Sus scrofa: one gene and its partners. The protein of the gene in region 1 interacts with the protein of each later gene in a biochemical or structural test. Links are inferred from orthologs where the notes say so. Each region holds a gene or a part of one and is shown on either strand. Other genes may lie near its edges.

What was found.
Region 2: the proteins of XPO1 (region 1) and RANBP3 form a complex in vitro, tested with the Homo sapiens proteins (2 studies listed by BioGRID). The link is inferred for Sus scrofa from reciprocal best matches to the Homo sapiens genes XPO1 and RANBP3.
Region 3: the proteins of XPO1 (region 1) and ABL1 interact in a test that uses a peptide from one of them, tested with the Homo sapiens proteins (2 studies listed by BioGRID). The link is inferred for Sus scrofa from reciprocal best matches to the Homo sapiens genes XPO1 and ABL1.
Region 4: the proteins of XPO1 (region 1) and RANBP1 form a complex in vitro, tested with the Homo sapiens proteins (3 studies listed by BioGRID, with this or other methods). The link is inferred for Sus scrofa from reciprocal best matches to the Homo sapiens genes XPO1 and RANBP1.

What each region holds. Positions count from the first base shown.
Region 1 is NC_010445.4:80,253,809-80,257,824, reverse strand, and holds the start of XPO1 (exportin-1), read right to left. Parts: upstream 2,810-4,016; 5' UTR 1,996-2,809; intron 1-1,995. UniProt on the Homo sapiens protein: Mediates the nuclear export of cellular proteins (cargos) bearing a leucine-rich nuclear export signal (NES) and of RNAs.
Region 2 is NC_010444.4:73,100,973-73,104,532, reverse strand, and holds part of RANBP3 (ran-binding protein 3), read right to left. Parts: intron 3,494-3,560; coding exon 3,457-3,493; intron 3,368-3,456; coding exon 3,281-3,367; intron 602-3,280; coding exon 530-601; intron 1-529. UniProt on the Homo sapiens protein: Acts as a cofactor for XPO1/CRM1-mediated nuclear export, perhaps as export complex scaffolding protein. Bound to XPO1/CRM1, stabilizes the XPO1/CRM1-cargo interaction. In the absence of Ran-bound GTP prevents binding of XPO1/CRM1 to the nuclear pore complex.
Region 3 is NC_010443.5:270,760,132-270,764,445, forward strand, and holds the start of ABL1 (tyrosine-protein kinase ABL1), read left to right. Parts: upstream 1-1,509; 5' UTR 1,510-1,642; intron 1,643-1,697; exon of another isoform or gene 1,698-2,116; intron 2,117-2,694; 5' UTR 2,695-3,017; coding exon 3,018-3,153; intron 3,154-4,314. UniProt on the Homo sapiens protein: Non-receptor tyrosine-protein kinase that plays a role in many key processes linked to cell growth and survival such as cytoskeleton remodeling in response to extracellular stimuli, cell motility and adhesion, receptor endocytosis, autophagy, DNA damage response and apoptosis.
Region 4 is NC_010456.5:51,497,229-51,500,951, reverse strand, and holds the end of RANBP1 (ran-specific GTPase-activating protein), read right to left. Parts: intron 3,575-3,723; coding exon 3,417-3,574; intron 2,147-3,416; coding exon 2,018-2,146; intron 1,490-2,017; coding exon 1,424-1,489; intron 943-1,423; coding exon 827-942; 3' UTR 532-826; downstream 1-531. UniProt on the Homo sapiens protein: Plays a role in RAN-dependent nucleocytoplasmic transport. Alleviates the TNPO1-dependent inhibition of RAN GTPase activity and mediates the dissociation of RAN from proteins involved in transport into the nucleus.

The DNA of each region.
Region 1 (4,016 bases):
GCAGTAATTTCAACTCGAATGTCTTAATGATAATGTCAGTTACGACAAAGTAAAAGTCGGAAAGATCAATCAGATAAAATATAAGATATAATGTAAAAATTGAGAAATTAAGAGTTTAAGGACTTTCATTCAAGTTTTTTGATCCATTGACAACAAAACTGATGAGATTTCAAAAATTTCTACCAGCAGTTACTACCTAACATAATCTTTGACCTAAATATTAATACAAAAAAGGAAATATATATTTCACAAATTAAAGCGTTAAATCTCTCCCCTTCAAGTGTCATGTAATTTTAAAGGATCAGAACAATCTTAAAAATTGAGCCTGAAAAGCAATGTCCACGAAGAATCAAGATCTACATATCAAATGTTCTATGGGGGGGAGTTAATTAAAAACTGAACGAACTTTTCTCCTATTTAGTCCTATCATAATGTAATAGCCAAAACAAAAAATAAAGTAACTATAAAAAGTTTCATTTTCAAGTACATTGTCTTTACAGAGTTCAAGACAAATCCTGTGAAAAAGCAGGTTTAGAATAGAAGCTTCTGTTAAATACAGCAGGGTATGCCACCCTTAGAACTAGCGCCTATCTTCGAAATGACCTACCTAGTCTTAAACTGTACGTAGTACAGAAATGGCGGCTTTCTGGTCAATGCCAAGCACATTTAGTCTCCCAAATTAAATAGCTTCCAAAACATTCTTTCCACCAACAGCAGTGTCCAACGCGCTTAAGATACACAATCAAGCAGATAGCAAAACAGCCAAAGCGGGAGGTGAAAGAAACCACAAAAGCTTTCTCCGTTCCTTGGGACACTCAATGCTAAATTCCACTCACTGCACAGCAAATACAAGGTACTGTCCAGCCATGTGGTGACTCTACAAGTGACTACCAAAATACCTTCACAGCCACTTCAAACTGGCAGCTACACACTGCCAGCTCCCATCCAAAAGCCAAAAAATCATAACCGTTGCTTAATGATAACTACATAGTAGGTCAAAAAACAAGTCGCTACAAGGAGAAAGACTGCTACTTTAGGTGTGTGGGCAATTGCCTGCTTCATTCAGTAGAAACACACCTCACTAAGGCCCGCCCTCCCCTCTCTTCCCACCCGAACCGATCCGCAGCACTTCTAACTATAGCATACTGGAGCACGCACTCACCCCGCCCATACTCGGAGGAGGCATTTAGACCAGGCGCCTGAAGTTCACCGCCCCATTCTCAATGCAGCATGGCCTCTGCGTGATCAGAGGTCCGTGCTGGGCAGATCTTTAATGCTTCCTCTAGTACACCGCTTCCTTCCACCCACCCCAAACTCAGACATCGGAATGAAGCAGAATCAGGATATTGTCCACTGTACAGCGCCAGCAGTAAACGTTTTGATCACTTAACACACTCAAGTCCGTGAAAGCAAAACTACAGCATGGAACCTCACCTGCAGATTCCCCCCCCCCAAAAAAACCAAATAACCTTCCCTACTTTTAATCCTACTTTGCAAAAACCCAAAGATTCTGAGTTTCCCTGCAGGAGGAGCAGGCATCAGCCCCTCCCTCCCGCGATCCCAAGCTCTCCACCGAGGGGCCACGTGATGCAGGCGGACGTTTCAATGCTGCTGCACTAAATATTTCTGGAAACTTCCACTCCTAATAATTTCCTGAGATGTTCCTGAAATCACCCTAACTTCTCCCCGGCCCCTTGGGCTGGGGAAGCCCTTCCACTCCCGCGCCGGGCCCCACTTCACTATCACGCTCCTTGCCTTCCTCCACCGCTACCCGCACACGCGAATGACCCAAGCAAGCGCTCCCCTCCCGCGGCCGCCTCCCCGCCTCCATCCCCCAGCGGCAGAAGCGGCTCCATTCAATCGCAGGCTGTGCTGTGGGCCCGCCGCCGCCTCCCCGGCTCGTCTCCCGCGGCCGCCGCCGCGCCCCACACCAGCCTCCTCCCGCCCGGCCGCGCCGCCGCCCGACCCTCGGCCCCGAAGACACAGTCGACTTACCCAGAGATTGAACCAACTGCTTCTTCCTTCCTTGTCGGGGGATTAGGGCGAGGGAAGATGGGGAGGGGGGGAAGAGGGGAGGAAATCAAGGTGGGTTTCACAGTTTCCCCACCTTAAAAAAAGAAATTAAAAAAAAAACGAAGGCGATAAGGGCAAAAAAAAAAAAAAAAGCTCAATATTTACTATCTCAGGGACACCTCCCCCCGACACACACACCCACCCTCCCCCCCAAAAAAAGAAGGGGAATTAATATGTGGAATAAATGCTCCCGCCTGGCTGGGGCGTGAGGGAAGGGGGAGGGGAACCGGGTCAGGTCCCAAAGATTCAGCCCCAGGGGGACCCTCCAGCCACAGGCGGCAGCAGGAGCGGCAGGAGTAGGGGGTGTAGAGTCCACACGGTCGGGGGACGCTCTGCTGCCAGTTACAGTCCGACTCCCCCCTACCAAAATACGGCTCCCTCTCTCACGCGGCTCCGGTGCTGGGCCCCCCCCACCCAGGCTCGCCTAAACTTTCCCCCCTTCTCTTGCTCCTCAGCGACTGGTGGTTCCCCCCTCCCCCTCTGGGTGGTTGCACGGACTGCAGCAGCAAAGACTGGAACAGGCACCGCCGCCGGGGCTGTAGCTACTGTTGCTCTTGCTGATGCTGTAGCTCCCGCTGCTCCTGCCGCGGCCGCTGCAGCCGCTTCTCCCCCTCCTCCTAGTGCCTCAAACTCGGAACCGGTTGAAACCGGTTCAGACTGGGAGATTCCATCTCGGTTGAGTTTTCAGCCCATGGCGCCGCGGAGCGTTTGGAACCTGGGCCTCCGCCCCCAGTCCGCTTGCCCATTGGCCGCTTCCAGCCATAGCCGCGCCATCAGCCTACCTCCTATTGGTCATATCGCCCATCAATCTCTGCTCTAGGCTCCACACGAGCCCGCCGCTTCGGCCCCCGCCTCTTTCCAGCAGCGATTTGCCCGCAGAGTGGGGGAAGGGAAGTGGGGCGGGTCGCAAAGGAGCGAGGAGGGGGGGTGGAAGAGGAGAAGGTGGGACGAAGAGCTAAGCAGAGCAGAGTAGAGAGCGAAGAGAAGCCGCGCGGAAGATTGGTTCGAGAGGTCTGTCAATCAAATATAGCCCGCCCTCAACTTCCCGTCCTCCTCCCTCCGCTCCCCCTCCCAGGGCTTAGCCCGCAGGCCCGGCCTTTCCGGCCCGTTCATTGGCTGGGCGCCTTTGGTGACGAAGCGGGTGGGGCGCAGCTCGTGAGCTGGTGGAGGCGCGAGTTTAAGCGCGGCGCGCGGCCGCCTGCGTCCGCTCGGCTACTCCCGGACTCGCGTTGGTCGGCCCCCGCCGGCTCCCGCCTAGCTGCAGGGCCTTAACCCGCAGTGGTCGGGACCTGTCCCCCACCCATCGGATGGGGGCTGTGCAAAAACTAGGGCACACCCAGTTTTTTTTTAATCGGAGAGGGGCGGGGTGGAAAAAAGGAGCGAAAACAACACAACGGAGGCCAGTCGTAGGCCCCAGACCGGGTTTGGGGCCGAGATGTTGAGAGGTTGGGGTGAGGTATGGGGCACGCTCCCTTGGCGCCTCTTACTCCTCTCCGAGACGTGGGAAAGTTACCTAAGTAGTTCTTGGGCAAGTCTCCTTCAAATTTTAACTCGCCGTCTCCCCAGGTTGGAATTTGGCTGCTTCAACAACCAATTCTTCCTAAAAATTAAGACACTGTAATCCCTGTAATTGGTTTAACATCCTGTGCTTTTTGCTGGGTAAGCTTGAGTGCCAGCTGCCCTTGATCTTCCTTTACCTTCGCTTTTTCCTTTCGGGTAGTTACCCTTCACAAATTTCATCATCACCAAGTAGTATTTTCTATGAAAGTCACACGCACGTGGCCCTTCACATGGTTGTCTCTCTTGTCCGCAAGTGCCCTCCAAGTAAGCTTTACTGATTGTTCTTTGCTGAAGAAACAGCAAGCAGCCCACCAACATTTAGTAGGCCCATTGTGCCACCAAGAGGTTGATAAATGGTTTATTAAATCACAGTTTTCTTCAGC
Region 2 (3,560 bases), on another chromosome or scaffold:
CTTAAAGTTTTAAAGCTATGACTAAATGTATTTATCTAAACAGATCTAAGTAATATTAATTAATGTTGAGAATACACAGAGGAGTCTGGAAAATTACAGAAACTTCAGAGTAGTTTACCTTTGGGGTGGTAGAGTGAATGGGAAAGGGGCAGGCGGATTCTTTTACTCGATGTATTTCCAATTTTCTAATGATACAAGTGTGTTAACGGTGTAAAAGTTTGAAAAACGAGTAGTATGCCCCATTATAGATTTTTTTTTTTTTTTTGATTTTAAACACTTTTAAAAAAAGGACTTGAAATTCCTTGTAACCAGGTCCTGCTAGCAGAAACAGAAGGGCTTATGAAACCATCTCACACTGGATTCCAAGTCTACGAGTTGAAAAGTTGGGAAACATTTAGGAACTGAAAAAGACTACTGATTTCAAACTGCCCATTCCCATTGAAGATCTTACTTTATAACATCAACTGCTTTTCATCCCAGGAAACCCCCAGTGGCTAGCTGTCAAAGGCAAGGGGATGTGAGGGCTCACCTGGTTCTGAGTCAGAATTGCCTGCAGATGGCTCGCAGAAGGTTGATGGCATAAAAACATTGTTTTTTGATACTGTCGACAAAGAGGTGCAGGCAGGGGAGGGAACAAGAGGAAAAACAGTGTGAGTAGGTGGGGCAGATGTGCAAGGGATCACTTCCCTCACCTGAGGGCTCATCTCCAGGCCCCCACTGTTAGGGGGAGGGAGTCAGCATTAAGGCTCCGGCCTTTAGCCACTCCCAATAAAAGTGACCCAGGGACTCTTTCTACGGCAAAAGTGGGTCAGAGCAGGCTTAAACTGACACTGAGCAGTCGGCTCTGGTCCTCCATGGCCACCTGCCTTGTCCTCATGCCCCTGAAGAGGCAGTCAGGAGGGAAATGGACGCCCCAGATGTTCTGAGTCTCCCCTGGGGCTGAATCTCAGACCCTGCTCCTTGTCATACTCAGCTGCAATCTGCCTCCCCTCACCTATCCAGGATCTTACTCCACAATATCAACTGCTTCCTGGGAGCAGACCAAGCAATAGTGTAGCAGGGCTGAAGAACTAACTGTGCTGACAGAGGGCAGCTAAGTGGGCTCAGAGGCACTGCTGTCTCTCCACTTCCCTAATGGCTGAGGGCTAAGCAGCTCCTGGGTGGTGATGCATGAAAGGAGAAGGACAATGTCTAGTGGTCCTCTGCCCCTTCGGCCTGGGACCACAGCACAAATCACCTCCTTTCTCCCCCACTGCAGAAAGTGTAGTTCAGCAGTGGGTGGAGGATGGGAAGGAACACAATCAATGGCTAGGGAGCACAAGTTCCCTTCTATAGTTAGGGCCATGTAACAGGCGTGCAGAGATCCTTAAAAACAGGATGTCAGGAGTTCCCGTCGTGGCGCAGTGGTTAACGAATCCGACTAGGAACCATGAGGTTGCGGGTTCGGTCCCTGCCCTTGCTCAGTGGGTTAACGATCCAGCGTTGCCATGAGCTGTAGTGTAGGTTGCAGATGCGGCTCAGATCCTGCGTTGCTGTGGCTCTGGCGTAGGCCAGTGGCTACAGCTCTGATTCAACCCCTAGCCTGGGAACCTCCATATGCCACGGGAGCAGCCCAAGAAAAATGGCAAAAAGACAAAAAAAAAAAAAAACCAAAAAAAACCAGGATGTCAACCACAGCCTGGACTGCAAATCGTCTAGACAGCTTCCCAAAGCCTGGTAGGTGAAAGACAGTGCCTCTATTCAAGAGGAGTCTCCCACAGTGTGGAAAAAGGACATGTCAATGTCCAAAGTCAGTGTTCAGGGGAACAGGTATAAAACCAAGTGTGTCACAGGGATGATCTTAAAAGGACATTCACTCTCTACCATGTACACTCCTGTGATGTGTGCATTGCTCTTTTTTTTCTTTTTCTTTTTAAAAATTTTATGGTTGCACCCGCAGCATATGGAGGTTCCTGGGCCAGGGATTGAATCTGAGCCACAGTGGTGACCTATGCCACAGGTGCAATGCGGGATCCTTTAACCCACTACATTGAGCTGTGGATCGAACCTGCACCCCTTGCAGTGACCCCAGCCACTGCAGTTGGATTCTTTTTTTTGCTTTTTAGGGCATATGGAGGTTCCCAGGCTAGGGGTCAAATCGGAGCTACAGCTGCTGGCCTACACCACAGCCACAGCAATGCAGGATCTGAGCCTACACTGCAGCTCTCGGCAACACCAGATCCTTAACTCACTGAGTGAGGCCAGGGATTGAACCCGCATCCTCATGGATACTAGTCGGGTTCGTTACTGCTGAGCCACACCAGGAACTCCTGCATTACTCTAAGTAGAAACAAAGCTTACAGGAATGTCTTTTCTCCCTTCAAGTGGATACCCTTAAGGCTCACAGTTGTAAATGTTTTACATGAATTCCCAAGAATGAACTTCAAGCTGGGGAGTTGGAGAGAGTCTCTAAGGCAGCAGAGAGCATGGAATGATTCCAGAGTGGACCAAGCCAGGACACAGTAGGGGCAGGGGTGCGCCAAGCCCTGCTGCAGCTTTTACCCTCCAAAGCACTGGGGCGTGCCCAGGCCTGCAGAGCCTCCCACTAAGGAGCCCGGCATCTACCCTGGGAACCCATCTCTTTCTTGCACCAGCCTTTGTACACCAGCTGATCTGCTGGCCTCTGCGTTTGTGCAGACTTTTCCTTCAGCCTCCAGCTTCCAAGCCCTTGGGCACAACCACTCCACAGGGATGGGATCCTGGTCTGGCCAACCCTTCCAGGCTTCCCTAAGATCCCCTCCCCTTTGGGAGCTCACAACATTCCACCGCCAAAGTGTCTGCTACGGCCACTTGGCTCACTGTGTGTGTGTGTGTGTGTGTGTGTGTGTGTGTGTGTCTGGGCTTCTCAAGTGGACCACCAAGCTCTAGGCACATGACTAAAGGGTCAGGACGACACCCCGCTTCCCACAGCTTCAGTTTACAGACATAGCCAGCTGGCAGTTTGTGCAAGGTGAATGCGTAAAGAGCCCTGACGGTCCTTTTCCAGGGCTGACTTCATGGGCCTTCCTAATTAATTATTCCACTAGTTCCCAATCCTCTGTAAGTGTCACTGATTCCAGACAGGGGCACCTGTGCTACACGCAAGAACACTCTAACCTCACTCCTGACAGAGACTGGGCCTCGGGTTGATTCTAACCAGATGTGCATGCGGAACAGACCAGGGGTGTGAGACGCTGGAGGGGAGCAGCGGGCTTACACACATGGATGCTTTTACCATCCAATAAAGGTCTGCAACCATTACCTGACTGTGAAGGTGGGAACTGTGTTAAAGAGGACGTTCTTTCTCGTTTGACAGGAGGGCAGTAATTTCCATCTTCTCGGTCGGAATCTACAGAAAATAAGGAAGAAGGGGAGAAAAATCAGGCTGCTTCTACTTTTACAACCAAAGATGGTGAAACATTTGAGAGATGTCCTCACCTTCTCCACCTTCGGGGCTGGAGCCTCCGGCTGACCTCTGGAACGAGAACACATGTCAGGGTAGTCAGAGAGGGCTGAGCTGCCCAGGGCCCTGAGTTCTGCCA
Region 3 (4,314 bases), on another chromosome or scaffold:
TGAGTAAAGGGAATAAGGGTGTTGAAGTTTGAAGGATAAGTTGCAAACCAGGACCAAGTTCATCAGCCAGACTACTTTCTGACAGCAAAGCTAACCCAATCAACATCTGAAGGTAAACTCCAGTTCTAAAATTGGGCACACGTTTTCATAGGCTTCCTAATTCAGTACTTCCCAGTGACTTTTTTGAAGCCAATATCTATAAACTCATCAGCACCATTTCCCAATCCGGCAGAAATGTCTAAAATACACCATCCAATAATGGAAAGTACAGTGTCTGTACTATGACTATGGTGTCCCCCCACTAATAGTGCGACTTCTAAGAAGTCAATTGCCTAATGTCAGGTCAACAGTTATGGGAGTGGTACAACAAAAAAAACCAAAGGCTTTGGAGCAAGGTCAGTCTGGGCTCAAATAGTGACTCTTACAGAACGAGCCCACCATAAGTCACCTCATCTGTATATGGGGAATGATATTACATGCCTCGCTGTCTGCAGTGAGGATTAAATGAGCATCCAGTTTATGAAAAGCGTAATAGGCCTAGTATAGACCCGTGTTGTGATGAGTGGATCCTTTAGAAATGGGTATATCCTGGTCTGGTAGGTGCACTGCTCTGGGGAGACATGGGGAGTGGTGAATTGGGGGTTAGGGTACATTTTAGTTGCATATTTAAATGGGTTATGGCAGGTGTGGATTTGGTGTGTCTGGGTCACTGGCTAGCTCTGCAGGCCTACTAAACAATCTCGACTAAGAGGTTTTCATGTGAATACCTGTACATCTCTGAACTGTTTAACCCCTCCCCTTTTATTCCCCCAGTTTTATTGAGAAAAAATTAACACACGTCACTGTATGAGTTTAAGTTCAAAGTTTCCTGCTCACCCAAACGTCTATGATTGTGCCTGGCTTAGCCTCCGAAAGGCTCTTAACAAATGCTGTTTCTTTAGAATGAGCCTCCTGATATTCCGAAGAAATAATTCGTTAGCAGTCTGTCGGATGCTTTCCAGTTGTTTATTTTTCGCTGGTACTAATATTTATGTTTCTTGGAGAAAAGGTGGGAATGGAGGCGGGGGGTGGAGCGGTGAAGGCACCAAATACCTTGGTTTCCAGGAGCGAGCTAAATTTTCTCAAAGAGGCTCAAGGAAGTGATCCAACTCCGGTTCTGGGAAAATCCAATCCGCAGTTTTCTCCTTGCTTTGGTTTCTCGCCGGTCTACTAACAGCTCAGGGGAGACATTGGCCAGCCCTACGCGAAGCCGGCTAGAGTTCACCGGCTCCCAGGAGGGCGGGACGAAGCTCAGGAGCGGGAGCAGAGGGCAAGCCTCGGGTGAGCACCGACAGGGGCGGGCGCCGCAGGACCACAACTCCCGCCACGCCTTGCGAGCTGCGCCGAAGGTGGTTGGCTAGAAGCTCTACCCCACTGTCCCTACTGGCCAATGGGATGCAGGAGAGAGCCCTGACCCGGATTCTCGCGAACCAAAGGCAGTACAGGGGAGGCGGGAGCTTCCTTACCACTCGCCTTGCTCTCGGGAAAAAACCACATTTTAACAGGTCCTGCAGGACCCGGCCCTCGCGGGCAAGGAGGCTGGAGCCGAAAGGCGCTGCGGCGTACCCGAAAGCGGCGCCGAGAGGGTCCGGGTCCCCGCGAGGTGCGCACGGGACGTCACCGGGGGCGGGGCCAGGGGCGGGGCCTGGCCTCGTTGTGGAGCTGCTCGTAATCCATCATGGCGGCCACGGGGGTCGGTGACCGTCCCTGAGCAGCGCTGGAGCCGGAGCCGGTTCCCGGGTCCCGCGGTTGAGGAGCCCTTCCGTTGCCCACGGCCCTAACCTGCTGGGGGAGGTTGGGTCCCGCGGCGGAGCTCGGGGGATGTGACCGCCTGACGGCGGCGGCCGTAGCAACGTCCGGGGCCGGGGGAGGGGGTGTCTCTGGCAGAGACCCCCCCCAGGTTAGGGGCAGCTGAGGCGGCCGGGCCTACCCCCCTCCGCCCGCTTCCCGCCCTCGGAGCCTCGGGAGTCCTTCGCCCCTTCCAGCCCAGCCCCGACTCTGGGACCCTGAGGGTGGTCTCTTTCCCCAGACCTGGGACACCCCGATTCCTGAGGCGTGGAGGAGCGTCGCTCCCGAAGTAAGCCGCCCGCGCCCCGCCCTGGCAGCCTCCCTCTTACCCCCGAGCCGCCCCTTGCTCCTGCCTCCTGGGTTCAAGTGTGGCCTCGGAGCCCCCATTCAAATCCCCTTCCTGCTGTCAAGTGGCCTCCCCTTGCCCCCAGGTTGCTCCCGTGAGCCTCTAATGCCCTGACTTCTTCCAATGTCACCTACGGCCCCCTTAGTCTCAGCCCAGCCAGAAACTTTAATGCAAAGGAAAAGCCTGGACTGGTTTCACAGGCCTTTTAAAAAGCGGACTTAAAAGTTGCTGGCAATGCATTCCTTCTCGTCAGAGTCGAGGGCCAGCTCTCTCTGAAGGCCGGGTGACCCGTGTCCTTTTCCGGAGAGCAGGGTAGAGAAGCAGGCGAGGAGCGGCAGCTAGTGCGGCAGGAAATCTGCCGCGGAAGATGAAGACACCGAGATAGGGGGTGGGTGACTTCCCCAGGAAAAGTTCTGGAGGCGCATCCAAAGACAAGCAACATTTCCTTGATGTGTGGGAATCGAAATGACTTGAGCCTTACTGACCGTCTTACAGCATCCCCTGTGAATATTTCTGTTTAGGTTTTTCTCCTTGAAAGGGAAGAAGCTGTTACTCAGCCAGTAAAGGACACAAAATCAAGCAGCTTGGGTCCCATTGCCCTGATATGACTTCAAGTTGATCAACTGCGAAAATAATCGGAACTCCTGTTTACATATTGTCAACCTGAAATCTTCGCTTCCTTTCCTTATGGGAGAAGATGCCTTGTTGTGACTGACCTCAGTGACTGACTTGTGGCGATGCAGTGAATGTGAAATCCCACATACATACTGTTTTCCTTCTAGCTCACTGCCCATTCTGAAAGATCTTGAACCCTCTTCCGGAAAGGGGTGCCTACTGTTACTTTATGGGGCAGCAGCCTGGAAAAGTTCTTGGGGACCAAAGACGGCCAAGTTTGCCTGCCCTGCACTTTATCAAAGGCGCAGGGAAGAAGGACTCCTCGAGACACGGGGGCCCACACTGCAATGTTTTTGTGGAACATGGTGAGTGCCTTGCAAGCTTTCTGGTCCTGTTTTCAGCTTAGGCATTTTTGAACCACAGCACTCGCGTGGGTTCCTTTAGGTTCTACTTAAAACTTCTGTTGCTGTAGTTAGCTCTTGGTTTCTGTTGGAACTTTCTTTGTATAAGAAAACGTTACTTGGTGACACTGGTTGGCTTGCTTCAAAATCTCTGAGTTGCTTACTTCTTGCCTGATTCCATTTCTAACTCACCGTTGACCTTGGACAAGCCATTTTCCTATTCCAGGTTCCTGGGGAGGTTGGACTTAAGTCATTTCTCAGGATCCAGAGTCCATGATTCGGCTCTGACCTAAGGCGTGAGCCCTTCCTTCCCCTGAGGCGTGTGGATCCTTTACAACTTTATCTACAGAGAACTGTTCTCCTGTCCACGGAGGGGTTGGTGCTCCCCGCAAAGTTAAAAACCACAAGTCCTAGTTGACAGTAATGTCCTTGGCCCTTTTGATCATAAGTAGAACTTGAAAATTCTTGGGAGCTGTGTGGAAACAGTCAAGGGGGAGCAGCATTCCGCGTGCATCGAGGATCCCCAGCTTCCAGTCGCTTCTCCTTACACAAGGAGTAACCCTGTCCCCGTGGGTGGGACTTTTCCCTCTGCTCCCTGTTTCAGATGACACTTGGGGCAAGAAAGGTTGTCTGTGGCACTTTCGTGAACACCGTTGGCATTTGAGTGCTGACAGTACATGTTATACTGGTCAAGTCCAGTAATTCTGCACAAAGCTTTAAAGCTGAGGGTCAGCTTAGAGTGATGTCTGTGACAGGACCAGCGGTGCCCCAATTAATTAGTGTCCTTTCTGTGCCGTTGCAGCCTGGCATTTTTCAGAATGTGTACTTTATATTAAAATGTCAATTGAGCCCACTCTCTCTATAAGCAAATCTGAGATGTGCGCAAGTCGCATGTGCTTTGAAATTCAATAATGTCCTTCACAATGAATCATTGCAATAAACAGTTCTCCATTCAGTGAACTTGCATTTGACAGTTGAGGTTTGATTTTCTTAAATAATCTGGGTACTTGGGTTTTACTTTGCCTTGAAACATTAGTTATATTTTAGTTGGTTTTAGACAAATTTAGTAATATGTTAGGGTGCTTCCCAAATTCAGAGTTTATAAGGTGAAGTTGTTTTTTTTGG
Region 4 (3,723 bases), on another chromosome or scaffold:
CTGCCCTGTGCCTCACAGCCTGAGGGGCCTCCTGGGACACAGGCCACCCCAGAAGTGCCCGTGTGTGTGGAGACTTCTCCCTTGCTTAGAACTGCCTTACAAGATGAGCCCCAATTGGCTCTAACCATCTGTGTTCCTGAAAACGCCCTCCTAAAAGGCACTGCAGGCACCCTCAATTCCAGCCACGCAGAGAGCTAGGCATGAGCAGACAGGTCTTCTCGGAGGGTGGCCATGGGGCTGAGGGCCAACCAAAGGTGGCCCGGCCAAAGACCGGAGACACACATGGCCTCCTGAAGCCACAGCCAAGGGATCTGGTGGGATTCTTTTCCTTCCCCCAAGGCCAAGAAAGAGGCTGCCTGCTCCCAGGCACAGGGCAGAACAGGGCTGTTAAGGCAGCCAGAGGACGGCACCACTCCCCTGGCCATCTGCCCACCTCAGCCCAGTGGCCACGGCAGGGGGAGTGTGACGGCAGAGATGGAGGAACCCACTGTCCCAGGACAGGGCCGGCGCACACACGGTCCTGCCTCCATGCAGGTTTCAAATGTGTTATTTATTCACTATTTTGATGACTATAAATAAGTGTTTCCACTGTGGAAAAGAAAGTTAGCAGAGTACATTCTCATGACTGGGGAAGGGGTTCTCTGAAGTCATCTTCAATAGGGCAATAACTGAGAAAAAAAAACAACCTGAATGTCGGAAGTCAGTTCTTTTATATAAAGTCCCTTGTAAAAACAAAACAGAATAAAAACAAACGGAAGAGGGGCAGGGCAAAATTTAAAAAAAGAAAAGAGGGAAAAGACAGGGAGAAAGGGACGTGGGAGCCGACTCATTGCTCCTCCTCGGCCGGCTGCTTGGCCTCGTCCTGCGGCTCCGTGCCCGCCTTCACCGAGAGTGCTTCTAGCTTCTCGGCCACTTTCTCAGCACTATCGTTTTTGCCAGATCCTGCCAAGGCACAGGGATGCAGTAAGAAGCAGCAGCATTGCTCTGCCCAGCCCCGCTGCAGCTGTGCACGCTCCAGGGACTGGCTGCCCTTCCATGTGCCTCCAGGGTCACAGGTAAACACGTCCTCCCACCTGGACCCCAAGCAAGTAGATTACCACAAGGACCTCTGAGAAGCCCCTACTGCCCTGGGGAACTCCAACAGACACTGTGATTTGGCAGTTAGGCTGAGTGCCGGGAGGCCAGGCCAGAGAGCACATATTTGGGCCCTGACTGGCAGTTCACCCCCAAGAAAGCACACCATGTACCGGGGCAGCTGCCTTGCCCTTGACAGGTCAAAGTGGTCACAGCGCCCCGGGATGTTCCTGTGGCAGACAGAAAAAGCACCCGCCCGGGGCTGCGGCCGGGAGCAGAGCGAGTCTGCAGAGTCCCCCCATAGGCAACCCTACCCTAAAAACTCCCCAGCTCCACTAGCACCCAGCACCTTTCTTTTCTCTCTCTTCAATTTCTTTTCTGCATTCTTCAAACTTCGTTTTGAACTTCTGTGCGTCTGCAAAGATACAAAAGAATGCCCATTAAGATCCCTGAGCAGCGAGTCCCAGGCCACGATGACCTCAGGAGAGCCAGCCACCTCCTTGCCTGACTGCACACCAGTCTGGGCAGAGGTGGGCAGCCTCACTTCACCACGTGCTCTGCTCTCCACCTGGACTGGAAGCAGCCACTGGGCAGGCCACTCCCAAAGCAGAGGCAAGGTCCACTCAGCACCAGATCGTCAGCTCCTGGGGTGCTGAATCCCGGCACCCACCCAACTCCTGCAGGACCGCCTGGGTTGGGTAGGCAACCCAGGCTGGGAGGATGCCCAGCAGGGGGAGAGATCAGCATGGGCAGAGCCCTTGCTGGCACCCAGGCGATGGTGAGAGGACACACCTTCCCTGGGCACAGCCTACAGGCATTTAGCTCCATTCCCTGAGCCCACCAGACAGCAGGGCAGAACCAGACCCCACCGCATGCTTCCCAGCTGCTGTCAAGTCTCCCTGGAAACCAAGGGCACTGGTGGTCAGGCTGGCCTGAGACTTACTCTCGGCGTTAAGGAAGCGAATGGCCAGCAGCTCCTGCTTGGGGCACTCGTCGGCGAAGTCAGCGTGGGTGTTCCAGACCCAGGCACGGTCACTGCCTGCGTTCGGTTTCAGCTCCATCATCGGCGTGACTGGAGGGAGAAGCACCGTGAGGACGGTGTGGCTGCCAAGCCAGCCCACCCTTCCCACCCACTGCAGACAAAACAGGCCTGGCTTGAGGTTCACCAAGCAGGACTTGATTAAGTCCTTTGGGATCTGAGTTTTACAAACCATGACTCTTTGAAAACATCCCGTGTTCACTTAAAGTCTAGGAACAGGGACCCCAGTCCCCACCACAAAGATACCCCAACGAGGGTCTCAAACCCCATCTCAGCCTAACGTTCCGATGCCAGCATGTCTGCTCATGCCTGGCCCCTGCCTGAGCAGCCCCCACCCAGGGCAGGCATGGACCACATGGCCTAGCAGGCCCTGCCGTTGCCGCCCCCGCCCCCTAAGGCTTTGTCCACGCTTGGCTATGCCCACAGAGACCTGGTCCACAGAAGGTGGAGCACAGCAGAAAGACAGAAGCTAGGAGGTAGGCTAACCACCCAGGAGGGCACATGATCAAATCAGGGCAACGACTCTCAGCCTCACATGGTCCAGGAACACCACAAGGAACAAGACCATCAAAAGTGGATAGCAAAAGCCTTGTGACATGCCTGTACCTCATAGAAGACAGAGCTATAGCCAGGAACAAACTTGGCTCCCATCTCCTTGGGTCCCTCTCAGACCCAAGGGGGAAAAGATCTCTAGGAAACCTCCAAGACACGGGACATGCCCAGCCCGATACTACTGAGCCCACCTGTTCACAGGACACCCAGAGGCACCTTTCTTGTCACCACCTGCCCAGGAGGGCTGTGCTGTGCCCCAGGTTCCGGACCCCCTCTGCAGCTCACAGAAACAACCCAGTGACATAGGGCTCTGGGAAAAGCAGTGGCAGTGAAAACCCCTGGGGAAGCACTTCACATCCAGCTGGAAGTTGCAGGCTGGTCCAGGGCAGAAAGGCTGGGCGGGGCCGCTGGGGCAGCTCCTGAGGAAGCCACTCAGGCTGGGACGCAGTGACTGGCATACAAAGGCTGTTGTGCTTCCCACCAGGACCTTCCCTCTGGCTCCTGGGCGTCCACACAAGAGGCCCTGCCCCACCGGACACACGCCCTCAATGCAGACACAGCCCAGGATACGCATCCCCTGAACACTCAGCAGCCCAGCAATCCGAGGCCAACGCAGTGGGGAGCCTGCCATTACCGCTTCGCCGGCCGGGCCTCAGGTGACTCTCCCGGGATCCCCACTCTGGGCCCAGGACTGACGCCCACTAGTCTACATTCACCGGGAGGTCTGTGGAGCGCTGGCCCAGGCACCTACTGTAGTGATTGGCGCAGATCTTGAGTGTCTTGTCCCTTCGCATGAGGAGGCGGATGGTCCCCTTCTCCTTGTGCTTCAGAAGCTTGACGTCCCCAGTGCCTCGCTCCTTCCACTCTGGGAGGTCGTTCTCTGAAGCAAACCGGAAGAGCTTTGCCCGCCTTCAAGGGGATCCGTGGAGCAAAAGGTTAGCCAAGCACAGGAGGGGACAGAGGAGGCCCTGCCAAATGGCCCTCCTTTCCTTGCACTCCAAGAACCACAAGTCAAGACGTCACCAGAGAATCAAGACAACTTAACAAAACTGTGGGTT